Linked DNA regions of Astyanax mexicanus. The protein of the gene in region 1 purifies or fractionates together with the protein of each later gene. This does not show direct contact. Links are inferred from orthologs where the notes say so. Each region holds a gene or a part of one and is shown in the gene's direction. Other genes may lie near its edges.

Region 1 (10,883 bases):
ATATGCAGCAAAAAGCCTGACAGAACTGACTCATAACATAACATGAAAACTACATCATTTATCATAACATAGTATATAGCAGAATAACATACGTTAGACTCTCATTGGGCAGCTTGTATTTCACCTTAAATAGCACTGCAGTTACATTAGCTATCTAGAAATGATCTACAATTTGAGGCTGTTAAAATGTTAAAATGTTAACAGTTTTCTGTCTTTTTAATGAATATTTCCTCATTTTTGAATTAGGAGCATTTGGCTCTATTGCTCCAATGTATGATAAATGTCTTAAATCATTCGTAAATCTTCTTAAAGGAGAAATCTGGTGTCATATGTGTTTTGTTTATATTAGTTTTACAGTTTTTTTAGAAAGGTATCGAGATTTATGTTATATCTTCATTTTAGTTTACAAAATTGACAGGGCCTGGTGGCACATTAGTACTTTTATTAAGAGACACTTACTGTTAAGTTCAGGAGGTTTTTTTTATGTATGTCTTTTCGTCTTTCTCTCAGACTCGTGTGGTCATGCTCACACAAACACAAACATACAAAAAACTGATGGCACGTTTTCTCTTTTCAAGCTGTTGAGTGTGGAATATGGAGTTACACTAGTGTTTATGTCCTCCATTAAAACTCAGTTAAGTTTAGGTAAACTCAGTTACTCAGAACATTACACTATTCTAGTTTAAAAAGCATCAAAACTTCCCTGATATATCATAATACATTAAAAACACACTACACCATTATGTTTGTCACCTTTCCAAGTACCAGCATTAAAAAAAATAATCGTGATTTCATCCCTGATTTAGTAATATGTATCAGCCAATCAAAAACAGCACCTTAGCTTCACCTACTGCATTGGAAAAATCATGTTATGGGTTAATTTTACCGCCTAGTGATGATTTGTGAAATAAAAAAAATAAAAAGTTATATAAAAGAAAAAATAACAATGCGTAACAAATGATTACACTGCAATTAACATAAAAATACAAACAATATATATAGCTCTGGAAAAAAATTAAGAGACCACTTCAGTTTCTGAATCATCCTTTTCTGATTTTGCTATTTATAGGTATATGTTTGGCTAAAATGAACATTGTTGTTTTATTCTAAACTACGGACAAAATAAAAATATTGTCATTAAGAGTATTTACTTGCAGAAAATGAGAAATGGCTGAAATAACAAAAAAGATAAAGAGCTTTTAGACCTCAAATAATGTAAGGAAAACAAGTTCATATTCATAAAGTTTTCAGAGTGTTAAGATTTAAGAGAAATCCATATTTGGTGCAATAACCCTGGTTTTTAATCACAGTTTTCATGCATCTTGGCATGTTCTCCTCCACCAGTCTTACACACTGCTTTTGGATAACTTTATGCCACTCCTGGTGCAAATGTTTAAGCAGTTCAGCTTGGTTTGATGGCTTGTGATCATCTATCTTCCTCTTGATTATATTCCAGAGGTTTTCAATTTGGTAAAATCCTAGAAACTCATCATTTTTTAAGGGCTAATTTTTTTTCCAGAGCTGTATTACAGACAGAAAACAACATTCTTCTATATTTTTCATAACTGGAACATAGATCACACTTAATTTGATTCATTTTGTATCGATTGACACCACTAATTTATTTCTATTTAATTCCAATGATAAATACTGCAATATATATTGTAATATACCTCATTATATGTTTTTTTCCATTATTTATTTATTTTTTAGTGTTTATTTATTTATTTGTTTATTTCGCAGGCGGGTGGGAGGGAGTTGTGACGTCACCAGCATCCCTCCTGCTCCGGGTGCTCGGTGCAGCTCCCCCATCCTGGGTTATTATCTACAGAATAAAGGGTAAAGATTGGGGGTGTTCATTCGTTTAATCGTGTTTTTTAGTGGGAAAAGATGGAGAATAAGGAGGATGAGAGGATGCTCCGGTGCTGCAGCAGCAGAACAGCCGGGATGAAGGACCAGGAGGGGGTTGCATCCGGACTGAGGGGCTATCTCTGGAAGATGATGGAGGCACAAGGTGTCGAAATTGCGGTCGTCGAGCCTTATATATGTGTGTTTATACGTGTGTTTTATTTATTTATTTTAGCGTTTTAAGACGTTTTTTTGCAAAGCGTATCACGAGGATGGAGATTCTAGTGACTGAATATCAGCATATTTTTTATTGTGGTTAATTTTCCTATATGAATTTTGGGATTCTTTCGATTTTTTGGATGGTATTCAAGATGTTTAGCTTGGAAATGATGGTGTTATGTTGTGTACTTAATAATGCGGCTATTTTTAGCGTGTTATTTAACGCTACTATTATTATAGGCTTAAGGAGGCGAAATCAATCAAATGAAAAGCGCAATTTGGGCCTATAATGGATAACATACCTGATAGTATTGGTATTTTCCATTATATAGCATTATAACATTACGTTAGCCTCTCATTGGCCGGCTTGTGGTTGGAATTTTCCGTTCCACCTTAAATAGCGCTGCAGTTGCATTAGGAGGCCTGAGGCGTCCTAATGCAACTGCAGCGCTATTTAAGGTGGAACGGAAAATTCCAACCACAAGCCGGCCAATGAGAGGCTAACCCCCAAATGTTGGGATTTTTTTGTCGCGTTAAATATGAAAAGTCTTTCTAATAATTTCGTTCCGGCTTTATTTAATTCGCTTCTACGTTTTAAACCTATAAAAACTAATTTTTGTCCACAGGAAAAGCAATTTTAGGCTCCTACTCTGCGTGTTCGCGGCGGACCTTGATTTAATTTCATTCAATTAAGGCACGCGGTGAATGCTAAGAGCAGAGCTAGCTATCATCACCATCATCATCATCATCACCACCACTTTGCTGTTTATCATTATCATCAGAATAATCACCAAAAGCAATAATAAAATCACATGTTTAATCATTCTACCTTATTTTTTCTTTATAAAGGATGTAAATATTTCTAAAAAATAAAATATTTATTTAACACCTATTGCTGTGTCTGTTAACTTATGTCAGTACCAATATGTGTTTTTGTACGGGCTGTTTTATTATTGTTTTGTATAATAAATTTGTATAATTTTACAATGCATGATTAAACTATTATATTTGTAGAGCCTAGATAGTATAAATCGTGTGGTCTCTGTAAGTATTAGCATGCTGGGTAGCCTACTCTAAATAAGCCATTATTAATAAGCTTTATTTTTGTATTTTTTTTTTATTTATTTATCCCCTCTGTAATTAAATATATTTTATAATATATACAGTACCAGTCAAAAGTTTGGACACACTTTCTCATTCAATGTTTTTGTTATTTTTCTACATTTCTGTTTACTAATATTAAAGACATGAAAACAGTTAGGGCCTACTTTGAAGAACCTAAAATAACCTAAAAAAAAAACTAGTATTTTTAACACTTTTGGGTTTTATTAAATAATTTCATATTTTTTTTTCTTAGTTTAAATGAGTTTAGTGTTAATCTATGAATCAGAGCATTTTTTAAAAAATGAAAAACTACTGAATTTAAAGGTGTGTCTAAACGTTTGACTGGAGTAAAGTAAACAATTAAATGTAAAATGATCTAAAATTATTTTAGATTAATTTGGAAAAAGTGAAATGTTTGGAAAGAGTGAAATGTTTGGATAGAGCGAAATGTTTAATAGGTAGTAAACACTCAAAAAAAGAATAAAAAAAAAGCTAGTTTAAGTTTTTGTTTATTAATAGAGTATGAAATGAATACATCCTTTCGGCTAGACTATTTTCTTTATTACTTGAAAAAATGGGAAAATTCATCCAGCTCAGAGTTCCTTTCACATGCAATTATGGCTTACAACACCGTAGCCAGTCTATTAACCATTATATAAAATGTAACTGAATACCCCCCAAAAAGGTAGCTATGGTGGGGAAGACTACACTGAGGGTAAGTTAATGGTAAGGGACATGCCATTATGTCATGGATTAGGGAAGATGCATGCATAAATATGATGCTACATTATTTAAGTAAGATCTTGAAAGAGTAAAGTGTAATTTGCCCAAGTGTGTTTAGTCATACGTACCTTTCATGCAGATTAAAACTTTTAAAAAATTATGTTGAAAAGTGGTGTTACCTTTTACAGTGCCATGTTGCCCCCCCCAGTATACTGTATATGCCCACCAGGGTCAGTGATGGGACTAGGAGGAGTTAAACATGATCCCCTCTGGGTTGTACACTGTACATGGGTCCTAGATGGGACCAATGTGATATTAAAATAGGCTGTAATAATAAAGTCCATTTGTGAACCCCACCTGGGTCCCAGTAACAACACCTGTACAAACCCACCCAGAGCCTATGACCACCTGAAACCCTCTTAGCCCACACTTCACCAATGTGAGCCCACGTGATTATTATTAAATAACCAAAATACCACCTACTTTTACAGCTGTAGACGACCCAATAAATACTGCAATTGGCAAGGTATGCTTCTCCTTTGAACTCAAAAATAATGGCAAATTACATTTTTTTTTCCAAAAGACATTGTCTCAGTTTATAATGTAAAATTTTACTGGAACCAATATATGTGAGACGTAGAAAGGAAAGGAGATTACATTTCAAGTACTACATAGATGCTACCCAACAAACCATTGTTTAACCAAATTAAAAAAAGATTTTCAAATTGCTCGTTCTGTGATGTACACCCAGAAACCTTATTATACTATTTGTTTTGGAATTGTGAGTTTGTTAAAATGTTTTGGAAAAAACTTGATAAGATTTGTTATGAAAAAAAGTTTTAGTTGGATTTAATAATGTTAAGCATAAGATAGATCAATATTATACATTAATCTAATTATAATTTTAGCTAATTTAAGGTTATTTTATATTGTTAAATGTAAAATTAAAAATAGAATCCCACTGTTCGTGGTTTTTGAAATGGAAATCAAAATGTATATGCAAACTATACTTTGTTCAACAAATAGAAAAGATACAAAGACTGTAAATATTTGCAAATCCCTAGGTCTATTTTGACATAAAAAGTCCTTAGTATCAATATTTAATTATATTATTTTTTTATATATTATTAAATAATATTTTATAATATCCGTATTATATTACATTATTAGTCATTAACAATGTATCGTTATTATTATCATTATTTTAAAGGGTCTGTTTAAGTGATTTCAGTTCCACGTTGCTGTTTTGAATCGGGTTAGAGCTCCTGCTGCTGATTGAACGCAGCCCGCTGCTGCTACTGCACTGCTTGGAGATGGCGGACAGGACGCCAGGCGGGGCTCACAAGGCCAACTCCAAGGTAATTCAGCACATTTCTGCCTTTAATTAAGCTCCGAATCTGCGTTAATTGTGTAAATGTTGTGTTTTAGGTGTGCGCGGTTTCGGCTGGTGCGGTTCTGAGGGGCCTGTGTGTGTTAAATCTGCTCAGTATAGTGGATTTAGCCGGTTAGCTTAGCTAGGTTAAAGAGCTCGCGCTGGGGAAGCTAGCGGCTAACGGCTAGATCGCTAATAAATGTCAGAATCACTCAACACTACACAAAAGCAAATTCTGCGGGTAATATTCGGAAAGGCAGCGTACATAAGCGTTTTAGATCGATTATGGATCGTAAATGGTCGTTTTAAATTCATTATTATATTGTATTGGTGATATTTTATTGTACTTAGCTTAGCTAGCTAATCTGAACGGTGTAGCTAGCTAGAGCTAGCTTAGCTAGGTTTGATACCATCAAGCTAACAAACCAGTCAGCGTTACATTGAGCTGTGTAGCAGCTTCTACGACTGTTTTAGCTCTTTATACAGCGTTTCTCTTCATGCTGTGCGGTATTACAACAAGTCTATGTGATAAACAATGTCGTTTAATAGGTTAATAATCATTATTTGGCGCGAATATTATGGAAAGTTCCCTTATTTAGCCAACCACGTGACTGAGTAAACAGTGGGGTCTGCTGGATAATCTAGTGTTAGCTGGTTAGCTTGGTGTTCACATTAAAGGTTTTATATATATATTTATATTTACACACACTGTGTTTCAATTATTTCTGGACGACCCCTTTTAATTAATTATTTAGTCAGCTAGCTACGTTAGGTTGCACCCATTCTTAATATACTGATGTGCAAATGTACACATACAGCTTGTCTACTTATAGTTCTATAGTCTATAGTTAGTAGAGAATATAGATACTGCCAATAAAATATCTAGTTTGCACTTTCAGGAACAGGTGAACATCAGTGGTGGACAGTAATGAAGTACAGTACCAAAAAGAAGTTTCGACCCTTCTCATTCCATGTTATTTCTTGTTTCCTACATTGCAAATGACTGTTAAACTAACCAAGACTATGAAAGAACACATGAATCATGTAGTAACTTAAAAGTGTTAAACCAAAATACTCTGTGAAGCTTTTAGGCGGGCTGCTAATTCTAATGAACTTATTCTTTGGCTTTCCTTGGGTGGTCCTGATGAGAGCCAGTTTCATCATAACGTGTGTGATGGGCTTTGCAGGTGCACTTGAGGATGCTTGCAAAGATCTTCAAATATTTTGGATTGACAGACCTTCCAGTATTTTTTCCTTTACTTAGTTGAGTAGTTCTTGCCATAACATGGATTAGAACATTACTCAAATAGGGCTTTTCACTCTATACCAACTCTACCTCTTCACAACTTTACAACTGATGCTCTCAAACACATTAAGAGGCAAGAAATTCAAGTAATTAACTCTCAACAAGTCTTGAAGGTCATTCCAGGTGACTACCTTATAAAGCTGACTGAGAAAATGTGCAAAGCTGTCATCTAAGCTAGAGAATCTTGGAAGAATCTAAAATATAAAACATATTCTGGTTTGTTTAATACTTTTTAGTTTACTAAATAATTTCCTGTTTTTTTCCTTCATAGTTTTTTGATTTAGTATTCATCTACAATGCAGATTTTTTTTTTAAATAATGAAAAATGACTCTCCAAACTTTTGACTGGTTATGTAGATGCAATTGCATCCACTTCTGTATAAAAATGATAATAGAACACAAAAGCCTAGTACTTTTACACAGAAAAGCAAATACTTTTTTTCTCATGTTGAGGTATAAAGAAAGAACTTCTGTTTTACTAGAGTAATTTTTGACCTTCGCTATCTCTACCTTAACTTTAGGTATGCTCAGCAGTGATTAAACACAAACTAGTTGGCATCATGCCAGGCCAGGTGTAAGATAGAGAAGTATAAATCCCCCAGCATTGAGCTGTAAAGCATTGGGACTTTTCTACAATGATGATGTTGTGATGATCTTCCAATGTCCTGACTTCACTAGAAATGCAGTTGCCGAATGCAGCCAAATTTTCACAGCAGTGCTCCAAAATGCACTGTAGAGTCAGTTACTCCAGCAAAAGCAGTAGATTTAGTTTCAGGAGCGTTCCAGTTTGAGGCAAATATTGTCATTGTATTGGCCAATACTGAGTCACTTTTTGTGTTTTTTTTTTTGTCTGTTAGAACCGTAAGAATAAGAGACAACCCTACACCTACACCTACACTCAAATTTAACACACAAATATAACAAAATATTACAAGTGATGATTATCTAAACAAAGGAAAGGTTTATTCATTTTTGACAGAAACACTGCTGTCATGTTTACTGTTCCAGTTCCAGTGAATCTAATTTGTCTACGTTTCTCTGCAGGCTTTGTTGGAGAGTAAGCTGAAAGCCTTCAGTATTGGAAAGATGGCTGTGGCTAAAAGAACCTTGAGCAAAAAGGAACAAGATGAATTAAAGAAAAAGGTGAGTGAGTCAGTGCTACTACTGATATCTGATGAAGTGGAACAGTGGAAGGACTGAGAGATGTAGAGATGTAGATGATAAGTGGATTTGTCCAAATTATAGCAGTTCTCTGTGCATATGTTAAATGAATATCCTACAGAAGATTGATCTGTTTTAGTTTTATTTTGAAAGTATTCCATTAAATATGTTGTTATGCTGAACATTTACAGGAGGATGAAAAAGCAGCTGCTGAAATCTATGAAGAGTTCCTCGCTGCGTTTGAAGGAGGTGAAGGCAGAGTAAAGACCTTTGTCAGAGGGGGCATCGCCAATGCCACCAAAGGTAAATTACTCAAAATTATTTAAATAAGGTATAGTGGCGGAAAAGTACAGTACTGTATGATGGCAGCGAGGTCTGTTCTGTACTGCAGGACTGTGCCAGTGTCGTAATTTGCGTTTGTGTGCATGAATTCTGTTGTGTGATGCCCTGTGATTCCCAACCCTAGTTGACACTGACAGCATGTAAAAGGGGCAAATGCAGTACTTTGTATTGATGCCTGGTGGCTGAAATGCATATATTATTCATAAAAATGTAATTTTCTGCCATTCGTGCCATTGCAGACATTAGACACTGAGTTTGAACACCTTTCTATGCTTTTGCTTTTCCTGTAGAGGAAGCTGCAGTGGATGAGAAGAAAGGAAAGCTCTACAAACCCAAATCACGTGTTTTGGAGGCAAAAAGTTTTTTGCCGCTTGAAACACCACCACAGTTTCTTGCGATAGACAAGCGTAATGTAAGTACTCTGTTTTCTTAATGCTTGTTTGAACAAATGTATGTAAATTTCTTTTAGGTCACTTTTAAATATTTTATTATCTTTATATCCCAAGGCATCAAAGAAAGGAGAAAAAGAAAAGAAAAAGAGCAACCTGGAGCTTTTTAAAGAAGAGCTGAAACAGTATGTTCTCTATTTCCTGTTTTTGTTTTGGTCAAATAATTACTTGTATTGTGATAAAGTGCTTAATATCGGTACCGTCTTCTACCTGTTGTTCTGTAGGATCCAGGAGGAGCGGGATGAGCGGCACAGGCTGAAGGGACGAGTCAGTAGATTTGAACCTCTGTCTGCTATGGAGGGAAGAAGATCCTGTAAGTATAATCAATAGATAATGGACTGCAGAGTGGAGCATTGTTCAGGGGGTATTTATATAAAATTAAAGAGTCGAGACCTATATAGTGCTGGGCAGTATGTGGCTCATATACTACCATGACATTCATACCCTGTTAGTGATGCACCGAAATACATTTTTGGCCAAAACTGAACAAAACTAAACATTTGGCTGAATGCCAATTAAATTGACCATGTTTTTAATTGTTGCATAAATAGTCTAGATATATTCATAAAGTGAAATTTCTTCTTATTGATAGTAACAACTTCGGTAGTGAAAAAAAACATGTGAAGAGCTGATCTCTTAATTTCTTATGTTTTATTTTTTTCCCAGAGTTTTGCTTAATGGTTGCTTGTGAACTAAAACCACAATAAAATTTTATATGTTCATTTTCAAACTTGTATTTGTCTCTTACAAGTATGGTACCTTAAAGACTGCCCTATATTTTTCTACGATGAAAAGTTGCACGGGCTAGAACTATTAATAGCTTAAAAGTGTTAAGGAATGGGGATAAACTTCAGTACATTAAATAGGCAGATTAGAGATATTATATTATTTAGGAATGTATTGATTATGTACAAATAATTTATTCCAAACAGATATTAAAAAACAAGCACAACAGTTAATGTATTTACTAGGCTATGTATTTCAGTGGCAAAATTGTGTTGCGTTTTTGGCCTTCAGCCAAATGTTTTGTTTTGTTCGGTTTGATTTTTGAACACACATTTTCATTATGGTGCATCTCTAATATTGGTGCATGTATTTGTCAATATGATTTTTTAAAAACATTTATTTATTTTGTCTCATCTCCTCAAAGAAAAAACATACAACTGTAAATAGCTTTTTTCACTTGTTTTTTGCTTGTTTTTTGTTTGGTTTTTCTTGTAACTTGTAATGCTTTAATCTAAAATTTGAAAAATATTGTAATATTGAATTAGTATTACCCAGCACTATTTGTATCTCGTGGGACATTCTTAGTAATTATATCAGTTATGTGCTAGCCATTTATTTTGGGACTGACCCACTCGTGAAAACCCCTCCCATACATATATTGGCCACTCCCACTATATAGCAGTGTGTGTTTTATTGTGGAAACAAAATTTACACTGCTTTTCTGCTTTTTTTAGCGGATGGTTCTTCACGAAGAAACCGTCCGTCCAGTGGTAATTTTGCTTTATATACTGTGTAATGCAATCTAATGAGCATTTGGCTGTGAATGGAAGCTATTATGGGTGAATGATGAACTGAGCCGGTTTACCCTGTGAGTTGATCAGCTGGTGCTTTTGATTTTTCAGTTTTGGACGACTCCGCTCCAGGCTCACACGATGTTGGAGACCCATCCACCACAAACCTTTACCTGGGAAATATAAATCCTCAGGTAACTGGATGACTTGCTGTTGTTTTGTTGGTAATTTGATGTTGCAGAGCGACTGTAAATCAGCAGTTCCACATTTAAAAAGGAAATGTTATGTTTGGCTTATATATGCATCATTCTCCATGAGTTGCTATATAACAGCTACATTTTTGTTAACTCTCATACACTGTCAGACACTATCTGTAAACAGAACTTAAAGCTATAAATAACACTGACCACTGATTGCTTAATCCCTTGAACTGTAGGTTTATTCTTATTATTAATCTCGGTTGAAAAAAAATGTGATAATTCGTGATTACCTGCGACTTTTTTCTGACTGAATGAATGAAGAACAAGATTGTACCATATTGTATTGTACACAATAACATCAATAAAAAAAAAATCAGTATGGTGATAATGGTGGCCTTTTGTCTTGAAAGCAGTTTATTTTGTATTTGTTACAAAAAAGTAACATTCATGAAGTATGTTATAAAATGAAGTATATATAAAATTTATCCTGAGATCATACATTTAAAATGAATTTAAATAGATAAAAGACTTGTGTAAAATTAGTAAGGTTGTCTGAGAATAATGTGACTGTGGTGACCTTAATGCTTAACAGGAACATAATTCATGCCCTGTCGTGACTGCCCTATTTTACTGTCTCTGTTG
Region 2 (11,493 bases), on another chromosome or scaffold:
TGTTCAGGAAAAAAGTACTAATAAAAAAGTACTAATAGACTAATAAATTCAATCTGCCCTGTGTTTCTTTAAAAATCAACCACTTTAAAACTCACCTTATAACATTATGCTTTGGCTGTAGGCCAAAAGGGCAGATCTATGTAAATAAGCTTTCAGTTGTTTTCATTTTATTGTCACCCTCCTAAAATAGTCAAGAAATAATAGCCTTTTTTCCTACATCATTTCCTCATGATGCTGATCACCTGTGGTAACCTACATCCTTACTTGATCAAACCATTTCATTCTGCACTTTTAGGATTAATGGCCTATGTATGTAATGCGTATAACTAACTAAATAAAAAATAAATCAAAATAAATTGTGACTTCACCAAAATAATTTTCACAACTCAGGGCTCGTTTAAAAATTAGAGATGAGATTTTTACTATAATATAAAGTTTACTTCTTATTAATAAAGGCTATAGGCTATAAATATTGCATAGTTGTTCAGTCTTATTATTGTGTTTTTTAGTCTGGATTTTTATTACATAAAGCTATCTTGAAATGCTCTACAGTTTCTGGCTGTTAAAATGTAAAACATTTGAATTAGGATTATTTCTGATTGGGCAAAAATTAACGAAGCAATTATTTTAAGAAGGTGCTGATCCACAGACTGTGTATCACATGTGAGTTTTACATTTTAAATTTAAATTTTAAAGCATGATGTGGGCCCTATAACTAAAAACACAAATGTATTTATGAATATATGTATATATACCTATATAACATACAGTACAATGTCCAAAAACTGCAGGCTAACATAAGAGGAAACTGCAGAATATCCCACAAGAATCAAACTGTAGATACAGTACAGTCAGTGAATGCAGCTGATCAGTGCAGGTGTGTTTATAATCTAGTTATACAGTAATCTGCAGGGAACAACACTGACCATCCACACACTCCCACCACCACCTAACACTAAAAATAGAAATACACTCTTACCTTTTATAAACTACAAGCCAGCAGGTATAACAAGATTACACCGGCTAAATCATTCACAAATATGAGGATCTGGAGGAGGGAAACCTGTTTGTGTTCTCTTCTCCTTTTTGATCCATACTGAGGAAGACAGCTGGTTTCCAAACCAGGGTTTTAGCTCCATCTAGAGGAGCAGACAGATAAACAAGTATCTCTGATCCACTACCCCCCCTTTTCATCTTAGCATCTGCGTTTATCCATCAGTTAATGCTTAAGCAAATTTTGTTTAATGGTACTTTGACATGGTACAGACATTCCAATCAATTTCCAAATGCAAACAAATACAAAAAAGTACAATTAGTATTTAAAAATATTCCTCTTGATTTGATATGCTATTGTTTTTAATACCATAGAATATCCACTTTTGGGTCCATTAAGAACACACTAAGCCCCCCCCCCCCCCCCCACCTCCCCAAAGTAAATGGTGAGAGAACTCACTGTATTATAAATTCACAACAGTTCATTTTTAAAAAAAGTTTTTATGCAGGTTCATGGAAAATATGTATTACAGATGCAACAAACATAAAATATATTTCAATATTTCACTTTTTATCACACTTACATTTGCATCTACTTGGCATAAAAAATAGATTTATCACATCTTCCTGTTACTGATAATAGTATTCTTGAATCAGATATTTTTATATATCCAGCATGGAAAGCGTCCCTTTGGGGCAAGTTGTAATACCATTTCTGCCACGCAGATGTTTAACAAATTCAATTCATTTAAATTTTATTTATAAAGCGTTTTTGTTTTTTTTTACAACAAATGTCATCAAACGAACAGTTCATGCTTGTTTTAGATTATGGTAAAATGAAGAAGCGTATTAGTAATTCCTGTTATTCAGTGACAATAGTTATATAACAATATAAACCAAAAATACCAAAATACATACTGGGAACCAGCAAAATCTGAACAGTAAGAATCAAATTTAACTTGCCTTGAAATTTAATCACCACTTTCAAAAATGTTTTGGATTCTCAGTTTTCACAACCAAGATACACAAGCCAGAAACATATTACATATCATTTACACATCTTTCTGCAGCAGAATTAGATTTGTATAGAAAACACTGAGATTCCAAAAACCTGGAATTGTAATGTAGACTCAGAAGTCATTCGATGAAGTTCATAAGAGCATTTTCAATCAACAGAGTAAGCACTGATTTGGAGAAGACATTGGACTTGTCTCATTTACCCTCACCAAGTCCCCCTTACCAGCTTCAAGTATGTAAGTTAGCATGCTCTCACTGTGTGATTAATACTCCAGTCCTAACCCATCACCTTGTGTATGGCTTTATGTCTGCGTAGAGCACTTGGGTCAGCAAATGACTTTGGGCAGAAGTTGCAGGCATACGGTTTCACCCCTCTGTGGATATTCTGGTGGAAATTCAGGGTTGCTTTTCGAGTGAAACTCTTCCCACACTGAAAGCATGTGTAGGGCCTCAGATCAGAATGTGTTTTAATGTGAACTCTCAGTCTTTTTTCTGACATCACTCTTTTTCCACAGATAGGACAAACACTCTTACATTGTGCCTGCCTATCATTATTGTGGGGAACAGCAGCAGTCACAGTTCCATCAATCTGTATGAAGGAACACTGTAAATCTCGTGTCCGTGGCAAAGACATTGGGTCATGCTGCAGCTGGTCTTTGTCTCTTTCCTCATCTTCCTCGTCTCTAGAAGACTGGGCATATGGTACATAATGAGTGTTTAGGTCCTCTATGTCTTCCTGCCCCTCCAGAGATAAAGAATTCTCCTCTTCTTCCTCCTCAAAGTCTTTAATGCTGCAGTCGTTCCAGTTGAGATGTGATCCGGATGCAGCGTTGTGCTTTAATTCAGTCTTGAGTTCAGGACTGAGGTCTGAAAGTTGATCGTTTATTTCTGCATCTGTAGAACAATAAAAGAAACACTTTACTGGAAATAAACATACTGAATATGTTTACTAGTACATTCTTAGCTGGTTCTTAATCCAAGACGTGACTATCAGTGCTTTAGCCTGTGAGGACATACCTCTAAGTCTCAAACACTGCCTGTGAGACTCACATATTATTGCCAAAATTCACAGCCTCACACCAAAAACTTCAAACATCAGTGTGTGGTTTTTAATTCAAATGAACAGACAAACTAGAGGGCAAAAGTGGCAGCATTTGTTCTAAAACATTAATATAGTATCTAGCAAATATACATCTATTAAAAATTCCCAAAAGAACAACCTTCTAACGTTGAGCAGGTCCCACTTGTGCAACCTTAACAGCACTGACCTATAGAAACATGGACTCCATAAGACCATTGAAGGTGATCTGTGATATCTGGCACCAAGACGTTAGCAGCAGATCCTTTAAGTCTTGAAAGCTGTGAGGTGGGGCCTCCCTAGGTTACATCAATGAGTCTTAGACACTCATGACCCTGATACTACTTTGGTTCACCAGTGGTCTTTCTTAGGAGCATTTTTTGGTTGGTACTGACAACTGCACACCAGGAACACCCCACAATCTGATGCCTGATGTTTTGGTGATGTTGTTTTTGTTATCAGATAATTCATGTTTTTAATCTTATGGCTTATTAGTGCATGTTTTTTTAATAAATGCCCTTACCATCATCCATGCTATCTTGCATGCACTGGTTTGTAACATACATCTCAGTCACCTCCACTTTAACTCCTGCTGATACAGCTCTCCGCTTCTGCAGCTTCAAAAACAAACAAATAAATGCAATATTTATTTAGTCACTGTTCTACTCAAGTGCTTACTGTATAAAACCATAAACATAAATGTACTCTTTTTAAACAAGAAAGTTATTAAATGTACGGTTTCATTTACTTTGTGATATTGCATGTCCTGCAATATGTTTATTTTGCATATGCACAATGCGTAAACATATACTGTGCAGTCCGAATTCATAATACTGTAAGAAAAAAAAAAAGAAAACTTATTCTTTAGGATTTACCAATATTTTACAAAACTAAGCATTACATATAAATATTTTTGCATTCCACACATGAAGTCCCCTGAATCCAATTACCACCACCACCACCGCAAACAAATCAGAGTCAGGCGTTTCTCAAAAAACAACCACAACTTTACACCTAAACCGACTCTGAATGTCAGTACACCTTAAATGAAAACTGCATAAAACATGTGCCTTATTATTCAGTAAGTGCACAAATCATTCACAACCTGCCCTGAAACAACATCATATAGACCAGTGTTTCCCAACCACTGACTTGGACCTGATTCGTATTGTGCCTACAAGCCCAGGGTTAAAACACACTGAAAGAGACCTTTAAAATCTTACCCGCTGACTACTTTTGACTGCTCCTGTATTAGTCTCCATATTGTTTGTCTTCTGTTTAGAATCTGAAAAGAGAAAAAGTCACGTTTGAGCTTTCCCCTTGAAAAGTTCAATTCTAAGAAGCAAAAGTATACATATTATGTAATTACATATACATATGTATTTAGAGATGTAGGCATCCCTCAATTGAATAAATTAGCATTCTCAATTACCTAATAGGGCTGTGTACTGGCAATACGATATTTATCATAATATCATAGTATCATAATATATGGGTAATCAAAAATTTTTTCTCTATGTATTTCTGTATGAATGTCATAACATGAAAAGCACATAATCAACTGCATAAAGTCAGATTATAAGAAAAGTTTTTTTTGCAATCAGAATATTGGGATCTTGAGGTGTGGCTGGGGGTTTAAAAACAACACTAAATAAACCATTCTCTGCCACGCATCTTTACATCTTAAACGATTTATAAAACAAATATCAGTAGTGCAAAACATAGCTGATATTGCAATACATACATACCTAACATTTAAAAAATGAAAACAACCTTTAAAAAATAAAATGTGCATGTACTGGAAAACAAGTATTTTTGTCTGTTTAAAGGCATATTTTGTTTTTATGTACATATTAAATATATTTTTCCCATTTGATGCCTCAAGACAACGATCTAAATTATTATGTTAGATCATTCTTTGCACATTTTTGTACTGATCTATCAACAAGGACAAGCTCCTCAAAATAGAAGTGAAACGGTTACTTCTTCATAAACAGTCCTGCTATAGAGGGTTACACTTAACAGAGGAAACAATTAACAATTACACTGAATAGAGGGCACAGATTTTTAAATCAAGGAAAAAGATTCATTTAATACATTAGGGGGATTATTTTGTTTTAGGGGGAATGGTTTGTCTTTTTAAAATTATATTTCTACATATATACATTTGGAAACGATGTGAAATACCGATAAATCACTATATATACACTGAAACACATTGTATTCCTAATTAAGCTGCAGCAGAGAAAAGTAAGAGAAGAACAGAGGCTGATTTCAGTCCTGCAGCACTGACCGTGTGATTTTCCAGCCACATCCTCTTCCGTTCTACAGTTTTTCTCTCTAGTTTTTAGCGGAGCCGCTTCTATCGGTTCTGAAATGTTCGGTTCTGATAGAAAACTCTGGAGCTGCCGCCTCAGCTCGTCGTTTTCAGACGTGCATCTCTCTATTTCCCTCTGTAGAGATGAGAAGACGCTGTCAGCCAGAGCGCAGATATCCACCGCCGCTGTTTTAAGCAGCATGTCCAGAATAGCGGTGAGCTGAACGTGGAAATATGTTTCTGCCATCGCGGTAAAATCTGCTGAAACCGGTCACTTCTGAACTCCGCTGAACTCGAGTCTAATCCTCCCGGTTCTCTTTGTTTTTGCTCTTTGAAAAATAATGGAGCAAGTCGCCACCAACTGGCGTGAGCGGAAGAGCCGGAGATCAGCGCGGTTTCCTCTTCAACTTAAAGGCTCATTACAGTCAGCTCGATCAGGGGGTTTCATACAGAGTCTGTCTTAAATTAAGATTAAATATACACTCATAATTAAAATAATGTTATTTTATAAATATTATATGTAAAGCAAAATAATAATAATAATCTGTAAATTATGCTCAGTGATATTTCCCAAAATTGCTTATATATATTTTTATATATATATATATATATATATATATATATATATATTTATTTTTACATTTTTACAAGGATGTTACACATTTGAGAGTGGACACTGTAGTAAGCTAATTTGAGTGAACTGGCTATATACATAAATTATAAAGAAGACTGATAAATCAAGAGAACAGCTTATTAAATCTCTACAATCAATTCAATCAATAAATATAATTTTGTACTCCTATTCCTCTGTTTTTATATTTAACAAAATCCATATTTCTTCATTCTCACTCCCCAGGGTTAATGTATACAGTATATTTTCACTGAACATAATGTAACTTTTAAAATATCCCAATTAAGTCGGGCATGTATTTTGAAATTCAGTCTAACGCGGCCGGAAATCAACTCGGCTCCTGGCGATGGTTTCACAGTGCAGAAAAATTATCTTTCCCTGAGCCGAGCTCTTTAAAGAGCTTTAATATCTCCATACTGAGCTGTAACTCACCGGATAAAGGTCTGGGTTTGATCATTATGGATATCCCAACTCCCCCAGAAGGTGAGATATGAGCAGTAGATCAACTGAGCTTAGCTAACAGCTACCCCGGTTAGCTATAGCCCAGGCTCTGAATGGCTCATGCTGCGGGTTAGCCGATTAGCCACTGTTCACTAAAGAAGAGCCCAGTTGTTTATAACGCGTTAATGGAGCGGTTTCAGGTTACATGTGTAACTGTGTATCAAAACGGCGTGCTTTACCTTCTTTCAGTTAGTCGTAGCTTCTGTTCGTATCTGAGGAGAGTGCACAGGATTAGATAGAGCTAAGCTAAGCTAGCTAATTGAGAGAAACACCATGGCCACTGCTCTTCTGATTAACTTAAACAACCAATGTTACAGAGCCCAGCTTAAGCTATGTATTCTCTCTTTCAGCCAAGAATTATGTATTTCTATCAGGTTATCTGTTGAATCAGAGTTGGTCAGTAAACCCTGGAATCAGTAATAAATGTATTCAGATGTAAACGTATACTTCTGTTCCTTTGCTGGTTGTGCTGTGTGTATCCAGTGCCTGAGAAAGCTAACAATTATTACTCTTTTCTTCACTATATTAATATTAATGACTCATAGCACTTGTTTTCAGAAATTAGACTTTCTGTCTAAACACATACTTTCAAACAAAAGTATAGTTTATTTGTTAACATAATAATGACAGGTAATACAAGTACCTTCCCAAAACAAATTCAGTAGAAGTAAATAGCTAAATACCTTAAGTGTGAATGTACTTGAGTAAATTCAAACGTACATCTGTTAAACATAAATCTGGCAAGTATATCTCTTCAAGACATTTGCCAGTCTTTCTTATTGTGCAATGTTTGTCTAAAATAAATGTTTAACATTACTCATAATGCTGCCAACATAACATAAATTAATAAAAAAATCACCCTTGTCATGAATATACTTGAGTAGAAGTAAAAGTCTAACATTTAAACCATTTAAAAATTCTAATTAATAAAATTGCCCGTATTGTATGTTGATATTTTACTGTATCCTGATACATATTCTTCTTCTATATACATACATAACCATATCACCCAGCAGCATCAGTACATGATTACAGTCACCACAAGCGGATGCTATACTATTCATATCAACTGAAATTAAGAAAAATATTTTGATATTAGTTTTGGACATATTGTTCAGCCCTAAGTACATGTAACAGATTTGTTACTACTCACGGTGATGCTGAACAATAAGTGCTTGTTTCCTAGACAAGAATTAAGTCTATCCAAAAGTAAAAGGAAGCTTTCTTAGCATGTACATTTTGACTCAGTAAACATTCAGTGATCATGGTAATAATTCACATATATAATGTGATTTCTGTCAACATTTTTTTGTGGTGTTTTGTTTTTGTTGTTCCAGATCAAGAGCTTCGCAATGTCATTGACAAGCTGGCGCAGTTTGTGGCCCGCAATGGGCCTGAGTTTGAAAAGATGACCATGGAGAAGCAGAAGGACAATCCGAAATTCTCCTTTCTCTTCGGAGGAGATTACTTTGGATACTACAAGTACAAGCTTGCAATTGAGCAACAGCAGCGTATGTACACTGAAACAGTTCTAACTGCTAGTGCAGCTTTGGGGAACTGGGGGGCAGAGTTTTGCACAGTTTGCTGATTGACTTGGCAATGAACTGATTAGTTAAATTGGTTATAAACTGTGCAGGAAACTGGCCCTCCAGGGCCATAAAGGGTTGTTAAATTAGTGTGTGTATTAGAAACTGAACTGAACTTGTTTGCTTACTAACCTAGCATTTAATGATGTAGCTTCAGAATTAAATGCTTAAAGAAATGTAAAATTCATATAGATTTATCCAGTCAAGTTTTCCCCCCAATGTGCAGGAATGTGCAAATATGCTTTGTTTTGTATCTAAGTCATCCTTTTTTCCTCATAGATCCAACCACTCACGATGATGAATATAAAATGGAAGGTATTTACTAGATTGACAATTGGACGCAATCTATATTTACTGTATAATATTCACACTTTGCCTGGTGTCATTGAGTATTTTTGCATCATCAGTGCTTAATGCCTTTTTCTCTTTATTTTATATTGAGCTTTGTCAGGCGTTTTGTCTTATGTTTTGTACAAGGTTGTGGGAAGGGAGCTTCAGTTGCTTGTGATGATAAAAAAAAAACAGCCTGCCCAGTAAATTCATTAGCATACAAACCCAAAACTGACTAAATAAAATGTTGGACAGATTTGTTTAGGCTCAGAATGGAAACATCTCATTGTTCTTTCCTTAGTTACTTGCTTGTTGTGTTATAATTTTTTTTTTTTTAATTCAGTTTGGTTGTATGACTTCAGTGTAGCCTCATACGTTCCACAGCTCAGTTCCCTCTTAAACAGTTTGTTCTAGTTTTTCATGGGCATTATTAAACACTGAAAAACAGGGCAAACAAAACCAGCATGTGTGAGTACGGTTGCATGCATGCTGTTAATAATATCTCAACTGGATGGCTTTGCTTTGAGAATGCCCATTAAACAAAGTCATTTACTCCTTACAGTTGTTCTTTCTAGTTTTTGATTTTGGATGTTGCCTCTGGTTGTTTCATGATGATGTGTATCTGTTTTTTTTCGAGTTTTTAAAAAATATATATTCTATCTTTTTGTGTTTGTTTGTTAAACTAATGAACTTAGTAGTTAGTACCATTAAAGAATAACTGTGCTTTCAGTTGCAGTGCATTGCAAACCACCTGGTAAAGAAGTCCCAGATGTTCCTCCACCAATGTCCTTGCTTCCACCTCCACCTATCCCCCCCAGTACACCTTCAGTGGAGGAGCTCATTCAGCAGAGCCAGTGGAACCTCCAGCAGCAGGAGCAGCACCTGAACAGCCTCAGACAGGTAACTCCTCCTACATTTTATCTGTTTTATTGGTCAGTTCAAACATACAGGTTGGGTTTATTGTAATTACTGTAATTACAGGCTGTAGTTCTTCTTCTTTATTATCGTCCTTTCATTCTGTCCTTCAATGGTGGGTCATTCATTCTCAGCACTGCAGTGACACTGGCATGGTGGTAGTATAATTAAATGGATCAAAGACAGCAGTGCTGCTGGAGTTTTTAGACACTCAACATCCACTCTATTAGACAGAAGCTCCTCTGTTGCACAGTTTGTGTTTTCATTCTCTAGTCCTTAATCAGCGGTCACAGGATGCTGCTCACAGGATGCTGCTCACAGGATGCTGCCCACAGGATGCTGCCCACAGGATGCTGCCCACAGGATGCTGCCCACAGGATGCTGCCCACAGGATGCTGCCCACAGGATGCTGCCCACAGGATTCTGCCCACAGGACACTGTTGGTGGATTACTCTAGTCCAGTAGTGTCACTGAAATGTTTTACAACTCTATCAACACCACTGTGTCAACATGCACAACACTCCACCATGCCAGTGTTACTGCAGTGCTGTGAATAATACACACCCCAAATAATAGCTGCTCTAAGGTGGTCCTGACTATTAAAAACAGCGGAATTATAAAGTTTACAGAGAAACACAGAAACTAGAGTCTGTGATTATAGATCAACAAACTGCCACTAATGCTCAGTGAATAATATTTCTTGTAGAAACAAGGAAATGGTCATAATGTTCTGCATATAATGTTAATAGAATTGGAATAACACAATTTATACTAATTCTAATCAAATGTAATGTGATTTGATGAAGTATGCACTAATTTTTACAAAACATAAAGGAAAAAGTATATGTTTAATACAATCTTCCCATAAAACATAAGAAATCGTATGTAAAAACATGTATTGTTACTGTTTATACTGTGATAGTCCTACAGTCACATTTATGTATTCAGAAAAAAAAAAATCTTTCTTTAAGCATTGCATTCCTCTAATTAAATGGGACTAAAAAAAAAGCAAGTTCTGCACAAATAAGTATAGAAGTCTGGAAGGTTCACATTCTGGACCACCTTTTTCTCTTTATCTGTAGGAGCAAGTAACTGCAGCTATTGGTTTGGCCATGGAGCAGCAGACTCAGAAACTGCTGGTGGAGACGCAGCTGGACATGACTGAGTTTGACGGCCTCCTCCAGCCAATCATCGACACCTGCACCAAGGATGCCATTTCGGTGAGCAGCAAATAGACCTCACTGTAGAAAGACTTGCTTGCCTTCAGCACCGTAACGTTTAATCTGAGAGATTCGCTGCTGTTCTCTTTTTTTAGGCTGGAAAGAACTGGATGTTCAACAACGCTAAATCCCCACAGCACTGCGAGCTGATGACCTCACACCTGCGCAACCGCATTACAGCAGAAACGGCACATTTCGAGCTCCGCCTACATCTCATCTATCTCATGAATGACGTCCTACACCACTGGTACACCACAGGACTTGGACATAAAAATGTAGTGGCATTGTTGTAGTGTATTCTAATCGTAGTATTGACTTGCGTTGTTATGGTTCCACAGCCAAAGGAAGAATCAGAGGGATCTGCTGGCCGCCCTGCAGAAGGTTGTGGTGCCTATCTATTGCACCAGCTTCCTGGCTGTGGAGGAAGACAAGCAGCAGAAAATCACACGGGTATGTTTGTTGAGCGACCCAAAGTATAAGCACATAGTTTATTAAAGGCATGCAAAATGTGTTAGCTGTATGTATATGCATCAGTCTGCCAGTGACTGTTAACAGAACGGAATCAATTTTGTTTACTAAAATAATACTCAAAAAAATGTAAAAAAAAATAAATAAAAATAAATAAATAAATAAAAAATAAAATACTTTTTCTAACATACAACATCTAACAGATATTAAAACAAGATATTTGTTATTTAAACATAATCTCTTTGTACTATTTCTAGTTGCTCCAGCTGTGGGAAAAGAACGGTTACTTTGATGATGTCACCATTCAGCAGCTCCAGAGTCCTGCGCTAGGCCTTGGACAGTATCAGGTACTGCAATCAGCAAAACTTACTGTACTAAAACTTATATTAGCCATATTACACAGTAATATGTAGCAGTAATGTTAGCAATTATTTGCA

The links.
Region 2: the proteins of U2 snRNP-associated SURP motif-containing protein (region 1) and calcium homeostasis endoplasmic reticulum protein purify together in Homo sapiens (affinity purification with mass spectrometry; 4 studies listed by BioGRID and IntAct, with this or other methods). This does not show direct contact. The link is inferred for Astyanax mexicanus from reciprocal best matches to the Homo sapiens genes U2SURP and CHERP.

The regions. Positions count from the first base shown.
Region 1 is NC_064425.1:41,495,095-41,505,977, forward strand, and holds the start of U2 snRNP-associated SURP motif-containing protein, read left to right. Parts: upstream 1-5,150; 5' UTR 5,151-5,207; coding exon 5,208-5,252; intron 5,253-7,616; coding exon 7,617-7,715; intron 7,716-7,924; coding exon 7,925-8,036; intron 8,037-8,365; coding exon 8,366-8,487; intron 8,488-8,581; coding exon 8,582-8,649; intron 8,650-8,748; coding exon 8,749-8,837; intron 8,838-9,984; coding exon 9,985-10,020; intron 10,021-10,152; coding exon 10,153-10,235; intron 10,236-10,883.
Region 2 is NC_064423.1:27,378,468-27,389,960, forward strand, and holds the start of calcium homeostasis endoplasmic reticulum protein, read left to right. Parts: upstream 1-6,356; 5' UTR 6,357-6,494; coding exon 6,495-6,519; intron 6,520-7,874; coding exon 7,875-8,048; intron 8,049-8,402; coding exon 8,403-8,438; intron 8,439-9,183; coding exon 9,184-9,353; intron 9,354-10,450; coding exon 10,451-10,588; intron 10,589-10,683; coding exon 10,684-10,835; intron 10,836-10,926; coding exon 10,927-11,038; intron 11,039-11,313; coding exon 11,314-11,403; intron 11,404-11,493. Other genes in the region: zinc finger protein 615, read right to left, coding at 2,288-2,904, 3,612-3,705, 4,312-4,373, 5,382-5,652. UniProt on the Homo sapiens protein: Involved in calcium homeostasis, growth and proliferation.